3 linked regions of the Callithrix jacchus genome follow. The protein of the gene in region 3 interacts with the protein of the main gene of each other region in a pairwise test. Links are inferred from orthologs where the notes say so. Each region holds a gene or a part of one and is shown on either strand. Other genes may lie near its edges.

Region 1 (6,264 bases), on a different chromosome or scaffold from region 3:
GATTCATAATGTAGTTTGTTGTTGTTTTTAAACTAATCTTATCTGCACTGTGATAGCAGAAAAGAGAATCTGTCCATATCAAGCCCAAGCTAGGTTAGAGTATCTTTAAGGTCTAAGAAGGGTTGTGGTTGGCAAAATCCCAAGGAAGAACCAGTGGAACTGTGGAAAGCAAGAGGTTACAACAATTGCATGGGAAGATTTAGGACTTTTTTTTTTTTTTTTTGAGACGGAGTTTCGCTCTTGTTACCCAGGCTGGAGTGCAATGGCGCGATCTCGGCTCACCGCAATCTCCGCCTCCTGGGTTCAGGCAATTCTCCTGCCTCAGCCTCCCGAGCAGCTGGGATTACAGGCACGCACCACCGTGCCCAGCTAATCTTTTGTAATTTTAGTAGAGACGGGGTTTCACCATGTTGACCAAGATGGTCTCGATCTGTTGACCTCGTGATCCACCCGCCTCGGCCTCCCAAAGTGCTGGGATTACAGGCTTGAGCCACCGCGCCCGGCCAGATTTAGGACTTTTTAGCTTAAAAGGGCCATAGATAAATGTTTATAGCACTGGTCCATTTTTCCTCACCTTTAATACAGAGAAAATATTATACCCGCTTTAGACAGCAGCAGTTAACTCACAGGGAATCTGAATAGTGGCTCTTGTTTCCTCTCGCCATCAGCAACTGTTGAAGGAAAAAGCACAAGTTAGAATCTAGGTAAATCTGGGTAAACCTTTATGTAAAGGCTGAGGAAAATAAATTCCCATAATGCCAAACTACTATAGTAGTGTTAGCAAGTTCTTAGACCTAAGATAACAAGACATCTCTCTTCTTCAGGACCTTGTGTGGGTAATGACAACAGGTTCAATGTCTCAGGAAGGTATCTCTCAAAAGGTAATAAAGCCCAACATATAAGTAGATTTTGTATATATGTTCTAGCCAAATGCTTTCACAAATGCCATTTTTAAGATAAAAACATTCTATACTGGGGGTAAAAGCACTCATTTATTTTAGTTCATAATTTCCCAGTCTTCAGTCATCTAAATGCCACTTTCATAATTATCTTCATCCACCTGTACTATTTACCTAATATTGGTCTTTGAACTGACTTACTTTTCTTGTCCTCTATTTTTTAGCAATAATATCTGAAATCAGTTTTGAGGTGTCAGGTTTTTATGATTAAATGTACTTGTTTCATTCAAGTATGTGTGTGAACATTTTGGGAGAATTTTTTAAATGTTCATCTGCTAATCAAATTATCTTGCATATGTGACAGTACCAAAGTTTGAGAAACACTACCAATAAGGTACATGTTATTTTATTAAAAGTGGTAGCAGAGATCTGTGGGAATGTTGGGGGGGCAGTGGCAGTTAATCTGGACAGAAAGCTATACTAACTGTGATGCACAGGGAGGGTGCGGGGTAGATTGAGTGATAAAGGGGAAGAAATTTCTACCATTCTGCCTGTGCGCTTTACCTCACTAGTAGTTTTTGACACTCCTATTATGGGCGCTTGCACTGCACAGTATGTATAAGACCTCAGGCTTCACAATAGATTTTACTCACATCTAGGACAGGGCCAACAGTATATGCTCAAAGGTGTCAATCCCAACATTTGCATAGTGCCACATAGTCCACATTTGGATAGGTAGAACCTCCATTTTACAGATGAGGAAATGGAGGCTCACTTTCTCAATGTCACACTGCTAGTATATAGCAGAACTGGTTCTTCAATCTAAATTTCTAATATCTCTATACCACAATGCTTCATCAGTCTCCAAAAACCAACAAGAGGCAAGAAACCAGTGATACAGAAACTAGCTATTCATTTTAAAATAATAAAATAGCAGGTTATAATTTCTTTAAGAGGCAGTACAGTTTGGTAGTTATAAAGAGGACAGAATCTGGAGCCAGGCTTCCTGGGTCCTAATTCTGGCTCCACAATGCACCAGCCATGCAAATTTGGGCAAACTTTGACATATCTCAATTTTCACACCTACATATTGTGGCTACTAATGGTATCTATTTCATAGGCTTGTTTTAAAAATAATATTATCTATCTCATAGGATCATGTAAAGCACCTGAAACACTGCCTTGTAATATACTAAAAGCACTATATTAAGTATTTGCTATATTATTTACTGATTACTCTCTATGGACCACACACTTCATACAAATTACCTCATTTAAGCCTTCCAACAACCTGTGAGGTAGGTATTATTAGTTCCGTTTTACCTTTGAGGAAACTCAAGCCCAAAAAGCTTAAGGAATTTGTTTAATCCCTAAACTAAAAAGTGACAAAGTAGGGATTTAACTCAGGCCCAACTCTAACACTGTGAGACACTATCAACATATGCAAATTTCTTACTCAAAAACATGTAAAGGAAGGTCACAGGCACCCCTGTGATAGTGCCTGGGCCTCTTTCATACACCAACATAAGATATACTTCTATTTTAATCAGTTGCACACAAAAAATAAATTAAAAGCACCAAACAGATGTGATGTTTTCAACATAGGAAATACCTGAATGTCCCTATTAATTTAGGATACGGTCACAGGTGTTAACGTCAAATAATGAACTTTAATATACCAGAAATTGTAGGTACCACTTAAGGCATTGCCTGATCCCTTACAATCTTAGCATGTAACCAAATATAAATAACATGGAAAGTGAATTGGAGTTTTAAAAGTGGCTGTTCCCCCGATTGGAGATCCAACATCTCCAGTCTGGTGGCTGACACTTTTGCTCTGGGCTAGGCTTTGCCTTGGCTGAATAGGCATAGGAGGGACTGGTTCTCAAGCTCGCCACCTGCCCCAGGTGGATAATCCAGGAAACTAAGCAACAGGAGAAAAATTATCTTCAGCTGTATTCACTGGCAGAGAGATTCAAGCCAGCTGGGACTTGTCCTGTTCTTTCGGAGACCTCCTCCACTTGTGGAGCCAATTACTCAGGTCTCCCTTCCGCCATATCGTTTCCAAAGTGACTCTTGAGACAGGGTCTCAAGAAGTTTCTGTGAGCCAACGTGGGCAAATATCTGGGCTCAATGCTCACTCCATCCCCACAAGACGTAAACTAAGACACTGGTTCAAGTCCCATTCTGCCTAAAAGAAGTAAGAAACGCCACCTCAAGCTCTCGCGGGCCACTTACACAGGTAGATCACCGTGTTTCCGACATCTGGGGGCCAGGGAATCCCCACCACTACGCTGACAGCCAAGGGCGACTGTTCCTCCCCCTCAGATATTCCTCCCCTGGCTGCCCAATACCTGAGGCAGCACAGACAAAGCGCAACTGCCACCCGCGTGGCCCAACAGACCCCTCAAGTCGAAGGGGACGGGGTCCCCGCTTGCCCGCCCCTCCAGAGCTCCGCGGCCCCAGCTCCCACCCCAAAGGCACAGACTTGGCTCCTGCCCGTCGGGTAGGTCTTCAGTCCCGAGGGCGGAGGCCGAGGCTGTGGCGGGAGACCGGGAGAGGAAGGGGAGCGGCCGGCAGGCGTTCGAACGACCCCTAAGAAGGGAAGAGGACTGGGAGGGGCAGGGAAGTACCTGTCGAGCTGGGACCCGCCGCTCCGAGTGACGCGCCCCGCAATGCATTGTGGGGCCTGGGAGGAGCCTTTCGGCGAGGCTGCGGTGCGTCCAACGGGGCTCGCACACGCGGAATCTAACCACGCCCCCGTTCCCTCGGCTCGCCCAGGCCAATCGGGTTCTGCGGGAAGGCCACAACAACCCGCCCACTCCCGGGACCCGCCTTAGTCCCACCCCATGCAGGAGGGATTGGCAGCCTCTCTCGCACCTGCGCCAGAAAAGTACCCCGTCCTCTGTTGACACAACTGCCCTGACTTCAGAAATAGGGTCAGTCTCCCCCGCTCGCCGCCCTGTATCTGCAGGCATTTGTCTCTCACAAGCTGCCCTACAGCAAACATTATCAAAGGGACAGGGAGAAAAGCCCCCTCTGGGTGAGCAAGGAGAGGAGCTAGCCCCTTCTATTCCCGCACACATGAAGGAAACTAACCGTAGCAGAGAAGTGCCGGATGCAGACCCTGCGACCCCTTCCGGCCTTTGCATCGGTCGTACATTATTAAATAGGCATTTACTGACTGTTTACCATGTGCCAAGCACCGTGTTAAGCACGGGGTTACAGGAGTGGACGTAACACTTGATGGAATTTAAGACGTAATAGGAGCAAGAGACATTAAAGCACAAATAGTTACAGAATTATAAATTGTGATCAGTACTGGGAGGGAAAATTAGTGGGTGCAATGATGAATTAATTTTGGACTGTCAGGGAAGAGCCCTCCGAATAAGTGCCTTTTAAGCTGCAGACATATTAAAGAGCCTTAGAGAGTGTTCCCGGTCAAGGAAATATGATGTGTGAGGTTGTTAGGACATGACATAACTTCGTGTGCTCTAGGAACTAAAAGGAAGTCAATGTGGATGGAGTGTAGGGAACAAGGAGAAACTTTGCGCATTGACTTTAAGATATCTTCCAAAATACAGCCTGAAATCTGTAATGTGGCCAATAAGAGCCAGCGTGGTCTGGCCCTTGTCTCATCTCAGCCAAAGGTCAATGGGCAGCTCATAAAGACTATTATTAAGTAGATTCTTATTTGCATATTTAAGAATCACTCAAGCTGTTTGTGGGGAATAGATTGGAAGAGGGCAAGAAGGGCTGCTGGGAGGCCAGTTGGAAGCAGTTGCATCAGACAAAGCCAGAAATGGTGGCTTGAACTAGTGTAATGGGAGTTAAAGACAGAGGTGGATAATTTCAAGATATATATAAACCAAAGATGGTATCCAAGGGACTTACTAATAGATTGGTTTGCCAGAAAGGTCAAAAAAGAGGAATATTAAGGATGACTCCTTAAGTAACTAGATGGATTGAGAAGTCATTTACTGATTCATGGAACACAAAAGGAGGAGCAAATGGTTTGGAATGTTAAATTTGAAATGCTTATAAATGGACATGTCAAGTAGATTTGGATGTAAACCTAGAGTTCAGAAGAAAGGCCTGAACTAACATAAATTTGGTCCTACTCAACAGAAATGTATTCATATATTCACCAGAAAACATATGTATAAGAATGTTCATGAAATGAATAAATTTTAGAATATCCTCACTGGGCGCGATGGCTCATGCCTGTAATCCCAGCACTTTGGGAGGCTGAGGTGGGCGGATCACTTGAGGTCGGGAGATGAAGACCAGCCTGGCCAACATAGTAAAACCCCATTTCTACTACAATATAAAAAAATTAGCCAGGCATGGTGGTGGGCATCTGTAATCCCAGCTACTTGGCAGGGTGAGGTAGGACAATTGCTTAAACCTGGGAGGAAGAAGTTGCAGTGAGCCAAGATCATGCCACTGCACTCCAGCCTAGGCAGTAGAGTGAGACTCCATCTCAAAAAAAAAAAAAAAAAAAGGAATATTCACTAATAGGATACTATAATACTATACACTGTGGGAGGTAGAAAAGTTCCTCTTCAAAGTTTCCTTTCTTGTTTAAGAAAATTTCATAAATGTTAGAAATAACAGTTTGGGGCCAGGCACAGTGGCTCACGCCTGTAATCCCAGCACTTTGGGAGGCCGAGGCGGGTGGATCACGAGGTCAAGAGATCGAGAACATCCTGGTGAACATGGTGAAACCCTGTCTCTACTAAAAATACAAAAAATTAGCTGGGCATGGTGGCGCACGCCTGTAATCCCAGCTACTCGGGAGGCTGAGGCAGGAGAATTGCCTGAACCCAGGAGGCAGAGGTTGCAGTGAGCCAAGATCGCACCATTGCACTCCAGCCTGGGTAACAAGAGCGAAACTTCGTCTCAAAAAAAAAAAAAAAAGAAAGAAATAACAGTTTGTTTTAAACACTTTCTTTGAAAGCCTTCTTGCCTTTTTGCTAGAAGCCCTATACTATGTAGTTGGTAGACATGCTTACAGGCATGTAGTGCATTCTATGTCCTTGTACTTTAACAAAGGACCTGCTCACAGGCATTTCCCAGCTTGCAGCTATGCCCCTTCATTATTTAGACTCCCTTTTTATTTATTTATTTATTTATTTATTTATTTATTGTTCTCCATTGCTTTTACCTGTTTAGAAAAGTTTCACGTTATTAGCCAGTCGGGTTTTAGTTTAGATTGTGAGGTCTGGCTCCACCCAGCAGAGATGAGAACAGCAGTAAGGACAACCCCAAATGCTTAAGAAATAAATATGTCTGCTTTCCTTTGTTCATTGTACTCTCATGGCAGGATTGCTAGTGGGAGTACCCTTTCTGCAGGAAGTAAAAA
Region 2 (6,314 bases), on a different chromosome or scaffold from region 3:
ACAGAGAGATTTTTCTCTCTGAAATTGACAATGTAGCTTATTGCTATTGCTATAGTATCTGTAGGTTTTTCCTCATTATTGTTTCTTAAATATTGAAACAATGCTTTACAAGTTTATTTACAAGTAAAGTACTCTTTTTAATCATGTTGGGAGTTGGGACTTCAGGGTCTTTTTGAGGGGAGGAGATTGTGGGGGGGGGGGTATTATTGAGAACATCTTAAGGAAAAATGAATGCCACTTAATAAATAAACCCCCTATTAATGGGAGTGAATTGGTCAACCTTTTTTTGCTGGGGGGCAGGGAACTTGGGGTTGAAAACCCTAAAGATGGAGTACCTTTTAAAAGGCACTAGAGGTCCTCAGATAACTATGACTATGTGGTACATCCAGGCTTCCTTTTCATGTGTTTATTTGGTAACACATCGTTCAGAATTATTCAGGGTGAGAACTTTGATGTGCTATTTCTGAAAATATACAAAGAGACCACATCTTACCTGATTTATGCCACTGTATTTGAGGAGGATTACTTTCTTGATTACTTAGGTTTACTTTGCTAGTATCATTTCTGTGTAAATTCACTGTTTTGATGAAAGTGAGGGATTTTTGTAGCATAGATAGCAAGATTTCTCTGATCAAACATGTCAAATAGTGTTGCATATTAAAAATGCTAGAGTATGAGGGGGGCTTCAGAAATAAACCTGAAGAATGCTGAGAGCTGAGGATTTAAGAGGGATGGATCCTGGAATAAAGTATTGAAATGTGGTTTATGTAGTGAAAGTTTTAATGAGATATTAACTTGGATTTTAGGTATCAAATGGGTTGAAGGCCATACGTATTTTAGCAATGAAACAAATAAAAGGAAATTTTGATGGATTGAGGTGTGTTACTGTTTTTTAAAGTTTGTGCGGTTAGTTTCAATTTTGCCTTCCAGGCTGTATTGCTTAATAACTAAGGACATCTGTAATTTTTGTGTATTTTCTGGTTTTGAAAATCATCAGTAGAATATAATTTAGGGTATTAAGAATGTCATGTCTGATGCCTAAATTGAATTTAAGTAAAATGGCATGGTATTAAATTAGAAGTTTGTATTCTCTGAATTTGCCTTTTAGAGTATCTTTTACAGTATTTGAGGACTTTCAATTTAGTTTGGTTTGTCAGTGTCATGATGTACTTTAAACCATGTTGATCATTGTATAGAGGATGTGAATGTGGCTTAATCACGAAACCTAACCTTCTGCCAAGGTTTCTCTGTTTTCTTAGTTCTGTGATCTTGCGCAGTTCACATTTTTGCATCTTTCCTAAATTGTGGAATAGTGATGTGGTATTAAATATATAATTAAGAGGACCAAATGAAACATTTGTGTATACTAGTAGTATATTTAGGAAATTGTTTTTTAAGAATAAAGAAAGATGTTTTAATAGGCTCTTCTCATTTCTGGGATTGGTAATAAATATATTGTCTAATTTAGAGACTGTAAATGTAACTTTTAAATTAAAAATTAAATATATTACATAATTTAATGCTATACATGTAATCAGTACATTATATAATACATTAACATATACATTAGCATTTTCTTTTCTGAAAATATTTTCCTATCTCTAGTGAGATTAAGAAACAATGCGTATGATTATATAACCCAAATGTGATTATTTTCCTTTATGCCTACTAAAATACAAATAAAATAGATTTGATATTTGAGTTTTAGGAATTGTTAGTGCTGTGACACCTCTTAGTAAAGCAAGTACTCTGGCTCTTTCACGTGTTTTTAAAACCTAATCAATGCCGTTTAATTTAAACGTCTTTCATATTTCTTCCATTTGATTTCATCTAACAGTTTTTATTAGCACTTACTATTAAACCATGTCTTCATAAACAGAGGCAGTACTTAACTGTCACTTTAAGGCATAGATGAACTAGTTGGGCATATGGTATGGTACTATCACATTATATTTGAAATATTAGCAGTCTCTATAACTATGTAATTTCTATTAACTGAGACATACTGGTGAGCTAAGGGTAACTTTAATAGTAGACTTTCTGCTCTATCCAGAAGTTGTGTACTTTTTAGAGCAATATGTGATACAGCAAAATTCTGATACAATAAAAGAACTCATGAATACCCAGTTTGAAATGTGAGAATATAATTTGATAGATATTTGAATAAAAATGCACAGATAAACATATCAGACACCTACACTGAATGACTTTTATGTAATATTAAAGGAAAAATATGAGTATAGAGATACGGAGAAGCAATTAGGATACCTCAGTGGTAGACAAAAATTAGGTTTTTGTATATCTTAAGGAAAGCTGCTTACAGAATTACAAAGGTCTTATTTATAGTGAGTAATAGAATTAATGTTTGTCACAGGAATTGAGAATTTTAGAGGTAAATTTTATTTTAACATATATATAAAATATAAAAAATAAAATCAATAAAATAGATATATTTTTCTGTGTGCCCTGACAGAGATATAAGAATGAGGAAACATTTATTTACTAAATTGAGAATTGTAACATAAAGAATAGGTAGAATTCAAACAGACGTCATAAAATTGATTGTGGCATCTCCGTTCCTGGCATTTATTTTATTTTCTCTTTTCCTTCTAAATCCAAGAAAGGAAATGGAATAACACTGGAGGATAATAACTTGATAAAAGTATAGGTATTTTATCAAATTTGTATGAAAAATAGATACTTAAGCATATTTGTGTGTCAAAATAACTTTATTTTTAAAGTGTCAAATTATTCTCTAACATTAGACTTTTTATGTGTTTGTGAAAGTATTTTAAAATTTCTAAACTTCTTTATGATACAATATTGGATTTAATATCAGTAACTGAATTTATTAACGTCATGGAATTTTTAGAAGTGTTTGTTGAAAGTTGACTGGACTTTACAGGAGAAAAATCCCTAAGCGCACTTTAAAAGTATCTTGCATTAAATATTCTTAAACTCCATTTTATTATTATTCACTGTATGATATTATAATGATAATATTGGAATAGGCAATATTAGTTCACATGTAAGTAGACAGTTCAGTCCTGCACTGTTTCTCAGCAGAGCATTTGATAACAAAATTAAGTCATTGTTTTTGCATGGAGAAATTAACCATTGCTACTACCAAATATGGTAACATAATTCGAAGGTTTTTTTAAATTGGCAGAAATTCACATTTGAAAAGCAAAATAAAAGTGAAAGTTAAATTAAAATGACAAACCAATAACCAGGATCAAAGATGAATACAACCCTTTTCATTTTAAAGTTGTCTCATTTTTTTTTACTGTCACTAAATGGTTAAGCAATTTATAAATTTAAGTACTTTGCCATGTCATTTTGTTATTTAACTTTGAACTGAAATTTATAAAATATAATTAACTCATTTTAATAGTTCAGATTATAGAAATCATAGGAATTAAGAATTACAGAAAGAAGAATTACCAAAGTCAGTGAAATCTGTTTCTTACCTTGGCTGGTGTGATCATCACAATATAAAGTATTGGGTCATATAAAGTCTATGGATGTTTAGCTGAGGAGTTTTCTGACTCTGTCACCAGGTTTATGGGAACAGTTGCAGTAGGTGGAGGAGAAAAAGTGTGCTAGGGAGGTCTTATGATGTCACATAGAAATTCTCAAGTTTCGATTGGTTAGCCATAGTCTTGGTCTTATCACAACCAAACTTTAGAACTTCTTAATTTAGGTATGGAAAAGTCATTAACACTTTGTGCTTCATCTTTTGTTTTTAATTTAAAACAGTATATGGCAGGTAAATGGAAGAAAAGGTAAATTTGAGGTGGTAGAAAGCTTTTGTTACAGATTCATGCATCTTCAGGCTTAGAGATAATAAGACATTTATATTCAATTATCTTCAGGCTTAGAGATAATTGAATATAAATGGTGAACATATTGAAGAAATAAGTTACTGCAGGAATTTTAATTATGAGAAAAATAAACACAGGTATAAGCAAAACAACTTTCATTGAATTCTTGCTGCTGTTGCTTTAATACCAATTCTTCATAATGTTAGCTTTTAGCAAGACAAAAATGAAGTATTTTTACATAATCAAATTTTATACCTGTTTTCTTCTTATTTTGTACTTGTTCTGTATATATGGGAGAAGCTGTGTGTATGAGAAAATCAGGCTAATAACTGCTTTTTGTTTAAAAAAATTATTTTTATCTTACAGCTAAAGTAAGAACTAATAAATATATTTAATTCATTTGGGTTTTCTTCAGTTAGCAGTTTAACAATATATTTGTGAATGCTAATTTTCGTATTTAAACTGATACATATAATCCCCCAAAAATAGCAATATGGTTCTTTAAGAATTGCTTTAAATTATTACACAAACTTACTAATTTTTTTTATAAGCAGTATTAAGGGCAACTTTATAGTAAAAAAGAAATAATTGCAGATTCCCAATCAGTTACATCTCAGTTAATGAGGCTTTATAGGTTTTCATGTGTTGAAATTAAGTTTTGTAATGTTTCTAAAAGGTTATGCCTCATTTAATCTAGTGGTTGCTTTTCTGAAAATTACTATACAAATGAGATGTTAGTGGAATGATATTTTGAACTTCCCAAAGCAGTTTATTTTACAGTATAACTGGGTAAATAATTTTTTTTTGTAAAGCTGGACATCATTCTCCTCTTCTCTGTTCATCTAATTTGTTGTCTTACATGTTAGATTTATTTAAGTCACCACATTTGAAAATACTGATTCTCAGATCTCTTCTTTAATTTTAGAGGAGATACATGTAATTTTTATTTTTTTAAATGCTTATGAGAGAGTGAACTTAGCCCACTTCACTTTCTTATGGCTAACTAAAATGTGTAGCAGCAGCTTTGTCCTTAAATGGAGATGATCTTGGCTTCTTCCAACGAGAAAGAAAATCTTTCTCCAGAGCAAATTGTTTGTTATTTAAAGAATCAGCTTAAAACTAACTGAAAAATAATATTTTAGCAATGATCTTCTGTGAACATTGCCAAGGGAAAATTTACAACTTAAACTCGTTAAGGAAATTGCATGAATAATAATTGACTCTCATTACTATCAGTTACCAATGATGATTGATCATATAAAACCTAGAAGCCTAAAGAGGTGTACAGTAATTTGTCAGAGATAACCAGCTGCTAAAGAAGAGACTGAGGATTAAAATCCAGATTAAATTATAATTTCTGATCTGTTAGCATACTGTGGGAAAAAATTATAACTTGAATATAGCTTTCATTAGAGTAGCATATACTAACTAAGAAATTTTAAACATGTGAATAGGTGAATTATTGAGCACCGTTAATCGTTTTAGAAAGTCTGCTTTAAGTTTGTCTAACAGTTACACATTGAACTGAAATTTAGGTGATAGATCATTGTTCTGAGAACTTCTTATTCTAAGAAAATTGAACTAGTAATACTCAATTGGGTAAACTAAGAAGCTGCCATAGACTGAATAAAATATACCCTAGTTACCACATATGTTTACAAGTTTACTTAAAAAGCATACATAGGCATATACACACCTTAGAAGGATACTTATAACTGTGTGTGACGTAGTTGGAAAATGGATTCAAAATTTTACCTTTTAGTTTTGTACAAGATTGGGGAGATTTTGTGTTTACCTTTTTCCTTGGGATTAGCTAGTGATGATGACGATAATGGTGATGATCCCACATACAACTCTAGGAAGTATCGTATTTTAGTTTTAACTAAACACTTTTTATTGCCCAAACAAAGTTGTTTAAAGGAGCGTTAGTCGGTTACAGTGTCATCAATAGAATGTTCCTCAGCAATTCCTCAACTAGAGCCTGGAAAATTTTTTTGAGATGCTTTGTCACAGTCTTCATTTGGAGTTACACGTAGTTTGAATGTATTTTTGGTCACGTGACTTTATACAAATAACCTCCCTAAGCTGCCAAACTTGCAGAATAGTACTTGTGATAGCTTAATGACACAAAGTGTACACAGTGATTATCAGAGATCCTGCAACAGTGTCCTATTAGTGTTAGTACTTATTTTCTTTTTTCCTTTAGAAGATGGATTCTTAAAGGTAAACTGTCTTTGAACTTGGATGGGAAAATAATTACAAATTCATTTTTAGTATGCTCTAAATGAAACTTAGTATTTTTTCAGTTTAAATTGAATCCTGGGTTCATTTCTTTACTTTTGTTTTTATATAGTTTTGTGGCATTTTAAATATATTTTTCAAAATCATTAGGTTTTTTTTGTTTGAGACAGTCTCACTGGGTCACCCAGGCTGGAGTCAGTAGTGCAATCTCGGTTCACTGCAACCTCCGCCTCCTGTGTTCAAGAGATT
Region 3 (6,437 bases):
TCTGCAGCTACTTAGTTGCTCCCACTGAAGTAGATGGTTAATTACAGAAGGTATGATATGACTCTCTCACTTTATCATCAGCAAGTGTGTCCCCATGGGGGAGACTTTAGTAACATTTCACATGGAGAACTGTGCTGATCTCTATGCTCTGTATCCCACCTGCCCTAACTTCCTTGTGTGCCCTGCTTAAAAAGTTTTTAAATTGAGAGATGATATACATACATCTACAGTGATTTCTAGATCCCTTTCTTGAGTCATAACTGAGAGCCTAGAGCCCATCATCTCATAAACATAGATAGGTTTACTTTTGCCTACCTGCATGAAGTGTCTCTGACTGTTCTGCCCACTTGGTCTCATGAGAACTTCCTGCAGCTTATTCTCATCAGGTTGCCTTCACTCCTTGCAGATAAACTGGTAAGAAACCTGAATATACTGCCTGTTGAAGGGTGTATATTTTTATCTTTCTTCCTCTCCATCCAAGACTTGCTATAACAGCAGTTGTTTGTGTTGAAAAACTAAAATATAGAAATATGGCCTACGTGCCCAAATCCCACAAGGCTGTTTACTTCCTTATTTACCGAATCAGAATCTGTCAGCACAATGTAGAATTCTGAGTGTCAACAGACACAATTAAATGGCCCTATAAAGCCAGCAGAGGGTGCACCAGGGCACTAGAAATTTTACCCAAGCTTGTAGCAGTATTAATTTAATACCCAATCAACTGTTTTTAAAAACTTATTTTTGTATACTAAAACTAATATACAAGATAAGATAAACTTCAGTTGAATAATTTAAAATAAACTTAAGTTGAATTTGGGCTAAAATTCCTTCAAAGTATACTCCAAATCTGAAAGTGAAGTTCAGGAAGAATAAGGAATACATGGTTAAACTTAGTATGGTCAAAATACAGGTAGAGTAGAACAAAATGATGCAGATCTGAGCCCTCTACTTTGTAAAAGTTCTAATATGGAGCTCCATCTTGCTCCCTCAAAAAAGGTCCCAGGAGGTAGTTGGGGGAATGGGCACTGAAATGGGAATTAAGAGAGTAACTTTCATCCCAGTTTTGACTCTAGTTATGTGACCTTGGGCAAGTCACTTTCCCTTTAGGGCCTATGTTTCCCAAGGGAATCAAATGAAATGAACTCGTATAAGCCCTTAATAACTCTAGGAAACGGATTCCAATTGATGTCAACAAATGTAAAGAGCTAGTATCCTTGCTTCTATTGCTCAAAAATATTAAAACAGAAAGAATAAAGGACAGAAGATAGGAAGCTGTGTTTAAACCTAGACAGAACTATTTTAGTGCCATACAAAGGGCAGGTAACTAAATGCCATTACAGACCTGGAAGAGTTTTATGCCATTACAGAAGCCCTAGAGTACAGCTGTTCTGCTAATCCTCAGTCTGTAAACATGGCTCTGTCCATTGGGAATGCCAAAAAGTCTTGGCCACCATTTGACTGAAGAAGTTTAATTCTTTCATCTTTTCACAGAATATCAATGTTCAGCTGCTAAATATTTCTACTGGGCATTGGGGTGTAGGGGAGTGGCAGTAGATAAATAAAGGAGTCAGAATCCTAGTTAATTATCGTTTAGTTACAGTGTTTAAAGTTTCAAGTATGAGAAGCATGTCTGCTGATTCTCTTCTTCGATAAGCTGTTATATAAATTGAAGTGTGCTAGCAAGACATTTTAAGGCTCAGGGCAACTTTACAATGCACATAGTTGGTTTTTTGTTTGTTTGTTTGTTTTAAGAATCAGTCCTAACATTACACTATTATCCTGAATGTGATGCCTTTATCAAGTGTACTACTTTAGATGGGAGGTCAAAGTGGTAGAAATAATGTTTACAGAGTTGTGACAATGACTCTGGATGTGGCAGTAAATACAGAAGGCTTGGGTCCCTCACCTCAAGGAACTTATTTGTACAACTTGCTCTCTTCCCTAAGAGGTACAATTTTACTATTATTCTTTAGCCACCTCAAAAGGATCATTAGATGCTTCTCCTAAGTTTCACATATGGCAACCAAGACAATATTTACGTTAAGTGCACTAAATTTACTTGAATAAAGAGCTAGAAAGAGTAGAAAACAAACACCAAAGTTAATAGTTTGGTAATAAGGGCACAAACACCATAAAGATTGCAAAAATAAACAAAACAAAACAAAAAAACCCCAAAGTGCTCTTGGGGTACTAGTCCTGAGTAATTATTCCATTTGCAGATTCCCGGTCTCAAGCTAGCAGTAAAAGCACTTCCCACCCACCCTTCCCACTGCACACCTACCCTGCTTAGAATCAGAACCAGCATGCAAAGGGTGAGTTTTACTTCCATAGATTTTTTAAATTGCTGTTCAGAAGTTGTCTAGCAAGACGGCATATTTCTACCAGAATTCCTCAGGGGCGCTGATCCTCACCAGAACGCCGAGGACAATCAGTCTCAAATTGCAGGTAAGTGTGAACAAGTCCACGTTCTGGTCAGCACACAAGGACCCGCGATGAAAATGCGGTTAAAAGTTGTTTCAACGGGCAGGCGTGGAGCAGTTACTACAGCTGTTTACAGCTCTAACTCCAAAGCGGAGCCTGCTGGTTCTGGCATCAGCTCTGGACACGAAAAAACAAGCACCGCGGGCAGAGAACCTCATCAGGAGCAGAAGAGCCAAGCCGTTAGTCGGCCGGGGGGCAGCACAGGCACCTCCTCGACGGGAGCGTCGCCAACTTTTCCCGAGGCAGCCCGCAGCCAGGGGCGGCGGGCACGCGCTAGGCTTTCCAACTCAAGGGGTCCTCAGGGAGTCTGGATTAGCTGGGCCAGGGACCGAAGACAACCTGCCTTGGGCAACCTCTCCACTGCTCGCCTGGCCCCTCGCTGGTCCTGCCCTCTAAATTGGGTCGAGGTGGCAGAGTGCTCCCAGGCCCCTTTGGTGGAGGGCCCTCGCCCTACCCGCGAGGGGAGGGGGCCGTCGCCACCCCTACTAGGTTACTCACCTGGTGCCCGTCCTGGGAGTCAGAGGGGAGTGCGGCTTCTCCCGGTTCCAAAGGCGGCTGCTGCTGAGGTGACGGCTGCCCAAGGTGACGGGTGATGGGGCTGTCAGGGTCGAGGCCACCGGGGCTGTTTAGGGTGCCAGAGGTGCCCGGGCCGCCAAGGCGGGATAGGGCTCCCCGTTCCCGCCGCAACTCCGAGCGCAACTCTAGGTAGCAGCACAACGTCAGCAGGTGGAGGGCCAGCGAGAGGCCAAAGAAACCCAGGAAGAGCCGGCAGCTGTTCCCTTCGCCCGCCCGAGCAGGGGCCCCGCGACAGCCGCAGCTCTGGCTCTCCCGCTCCCGCGGCGCTGTCGCGGGCAGGGGTTCCCTGCGCTCCATCTCCGGGGAGCCCATGGCCTCCAGAGACACCCACTTTTTTGAGGCCCGGGAGCCGCTGCGTCTACCTCAGCCGTTCACGACCTCTGACAGGCGGCTACTGCCCTGCCATCGGCTGGGGGCTGCAGGGACCCGTTCCTGCGCGACGGTGGCTGGGCGGGACGGAGCAGGGAGCAGCCGCATGTGCAGCTCCACTCCGAGGGGTGGGAAAGGGAGGAGGAGGGGCGGGAGAGAGGGGAGGCTCGGCCCGCCGAGGGAATGAAGGAGGAGGTCCCGGCCGACACCGCCCCATCCCTCAAGCGGCTGCCGGGACGTCCAACCAAGGGGCCGCCCTGCCTCGGCGCCCCGCCCCGTACCGTTCCAGCCGGGCCTCCAGCCTCGGGGGGTGGGGGGGGGGTGGGGGGAGCCTTGGGGCGTGAGAGTTCGCCTCGGCCTGGCCGCCCCACCCAGCTCTTCCCCCTTGCCTTGTCCTAGTTGGTGACTGACGCTGTCCTTCATTCCTAGACTCCGCCCCAGTTTAACCCTTTAGCGCCAGTTCTGGGAGGAAAGGAGGGGGAGGCTAAGAATTTGGGAACCTTGGAAAGAAAGTAGAGCAAAGAAAAGGAGGCAGAAACTAGCATTAATAGAAATGTTTGCAATTAACTGCAGTTGTTAATAACATCATCCAGTACTTATCTGTTGCTTCCAATCTTCAAAGCGTTTAACAGACGTTAAACTAATTAAAACAGCTCTTGGTTTGGAATGAAACCATGCCTGCTGTGTTTGCAATTCAATGGCTCGCCCGAAGAAAAGGAGACCTAGGAGCCTGGGAACTATGGGAATGGGTGGGACTCAAGCAGCCTCACTCCTGGAGTGACTTCTCTGAAAGCTCAATCTAAGTGACAGAGAAGCTGACTCATGCCAAGTGGAACTGAAATGATGTTGTCCCATGAAGGGTAAAACTGTCCTAGGATTTCTTGATATATTAATTAACTCAACAAATATCTATTGATCCCTGTACAATGCAGAAAATGCTGTATGAGAGCATCCACAGCCAGAATAGATTTCTTCCACTGCAGTAGTTTTGATTAGAGAACATATACCTTCAGCGAGTAGATAGGAAACTGAGGGTCAGAATGAGGTGGATTTTTACAAGGGAGGTCCATAGAATAGCCAGACACCATTGGCATCTTTATTTACAGGCAACTGTTCCGGCCTCTCCACCCCTCCCATCCTTCTCCTGGAGTACTCCCTGGGGGAAGTTCAACAAGTCAGCCAAATGTTCCAGATGTACACTGCTGTAACTGCAGCATCTTCAACAGCTGCACCAATCACAAACGGGTTCAGAGAAAAAAAAGTGGCAAAGAGCAGAACAATAGACCCTGAAATGAAGGATGGAAAGGATTAGTTAAATCAAGAGTCACAATTGACAAGAGTAACTAGTCTGAGATAATAAAAAGCAAAATGACTGTAGAAGGGGAAACATATATGCTTTGTAGTCACTATGCACTCTCATTCTCATGTTATTAATTGAGTAATGAATAATTAACAATTTTATTGACTTGCAGCAGGCATCTGGAGTGTCATCAAGGAGGCTCAGCAATGCCCAGGAACACTTATATATAGGCCTAAGACCTAGGCTGGTGGAAGAGAAGAAAAACAGAGAGAGAAATAGAAAAGAAGATGAAAGAAGAGAAACAAAACACAAAAACAAAAGCATCTGCTGGCAGATCAGTCCAGAGAGCACAGAGGTCATAAGCCTTTAATATATTAGCCACAGACAACTTTTCTCTATACACTTTTGAATGGTCTCAGTGCTTCAAAAACATCTTTTTGTCTTCTCCTTAACCTCTACCCATGAAATATAAAGTTCACAAAGAATATCATCATCCTAGAGCCAAGGGGAAAAAAGGTGTTTAACAGCTGCTCTCAAGTCCTGCTTGTCCAGTCCAGGAATTCTAGATGCTAGGAAAACTGCCAGGCTGATTTATTTTAATTATCACAGGCTGGGGTTATTGGAAAGAATGCTAGACCAGGAGTCAGGAGACTTCATTCTGCCACTAGATTGCTGGGTCACTCTGAGCAAGTCACTGTGCTTTTTCGGGGCCTCTATTTCTCCGGCAGTAAAATGAGGAGTTTGAACTTTAACAGCCTTTACATTGTGTTTTATCTGTGTTGTCACTGGCTGTGCTGACTTTCTTGCATACACAGTTTAAAGTGGCTGCCCTTTCTTCCTCTAAAATGAAAAGGAAACAAATGACAGCCATCTCCTGGTGGTGGTGATGCTCAAGGGCCACACTGCTCTCACCTTACCGTGTTCTGCCAGGCTTTTAACAACTTGACTGAGACTCTGGATTACACCCTTGCCCACAGAAGCCCTGAGGGTTGCATTTGACCTGGGACCTCTCTTTCCCCAGAGAAAGAACATGTGTCATCATATGCAGTAGAAATGTGGGAACGGGGCAATCCAGAGAGGAATGTATGTGGTTATCTTTTAAGTGTTTTGAAGTGTTCCTTCAGTTAGCTTCTATGCTTCCATAACTATCCTATCCCCTAAAGCACAGGTCTCAATGACAGCCTGCAGGCCATATCCAGCAAATAGATGTGTTGTGTTTGGTGCAGTATCAACTAAACCTTTGAATTAAAAAAAAGAAAACAGTTGTCAGCTTTTGGAACTCTGGAGATTTCACATTTTTAAAAGTCCAGATTTCCTGCTTTTCTGTTAAAAAACCAGAAGACCTGATAACTCTGGATCCACATTCCCATTTGGCTATATTCAGCTTAGAACTGTACTTTTGAAACAAGCATGAACAATCATGTTCCACAGCTATCACCACCTCTTTCTTCTATCCTTCAGTACGGTCCTTGTTACTCATTCACCTTACCTGTCTGATCTCATGTACTATGGGAGACAAGATGTAAGCTCCTTAACATGACCTCTAATCTGTCTCTCCAACGTTATCTCCCACCATTTTACAAGGAAGCCAAGCTTGCACACTACTAAATTTGCTGACCCTTCTCACACCTCCATGCCTTTGCACAAGCTAGTTTCTTTGTCAAGACTGCCTCTATCTTGAAAACCTGACAAATTCTTCAAGAATCAATTC

What was found.
Region 1: the proteins of EDA (region 3) and SEC22A interact in binary tests that used the Homo sapiens proteins (3 or more experiments, as listed by UniProt). The two-hybrid records come from large-scale screens. The link is inferred for Callithrix jacchus from reciprocal best matches to the Homo sapiens genes EDA and SEC22A.
Region 2: the proteins of EDA (region 3) and PLN interact in binary tests that used the Homo sapiens proteins (3 or more experiments, as listed by UniProt). The link is inferred for Callithrix jacchus from reciprocal best matches to the Homo sapiens genes EDA and PLN.

The regions. Positions count from the first base shown.
Region 1 is NC_133516.1:79,848,024-79,854,287, forward strand, and holds the start of SEC22A (vesicle-trafficking protein SEC22a), read right to left. Parts: upstream 3,565-6,264; 5' UTR 3,388-3,564; exon of another isoform or gene 3,138-3,387; intron 672-3,137; 5' UTR 666-671; coding exon 628-665; exon of another isoform or gene 575-627; intron 1-574. UniProt on the Homo sapiens protein: May be involved in vesicle transport between the ER and the Golgi complex.
Region 2 is NC_133505.1:124,873,598-124,879,911, reverse strand, and holds the start of PLN (phospholamban), read right to left. Parts: upstream 3,565-6,314; 5' UTR 3,471-3,564; intron 1-3,470. UniProt on the Homo sapiens protein: Reversibly inhibits the activity of ATP2A2/SERCA2 in cardiac sarcoplasmic reticulum by decreasing the apparent affinity of the ATPase for Ca(2+).
Region 3 is NC_133524.1:66,881,155-66,887,591, reverse strand, and holds the start of EDA (ectodysplasin-A), read right to left. Parts: upstream 3,557-6,437; 5' UTR 3,370-3,556; coding exon 2,980-3,369; intron 1-2,979. UniProt on the Homo sapiens protein: Cytokine which is involved in epithelial-mesenchymal signaling during morphogenesis of ectodermal organs. Functions as a ligand activating the DEATH-domain containing receptors EDAR and EDA2R. May also play a role in cell adhesion.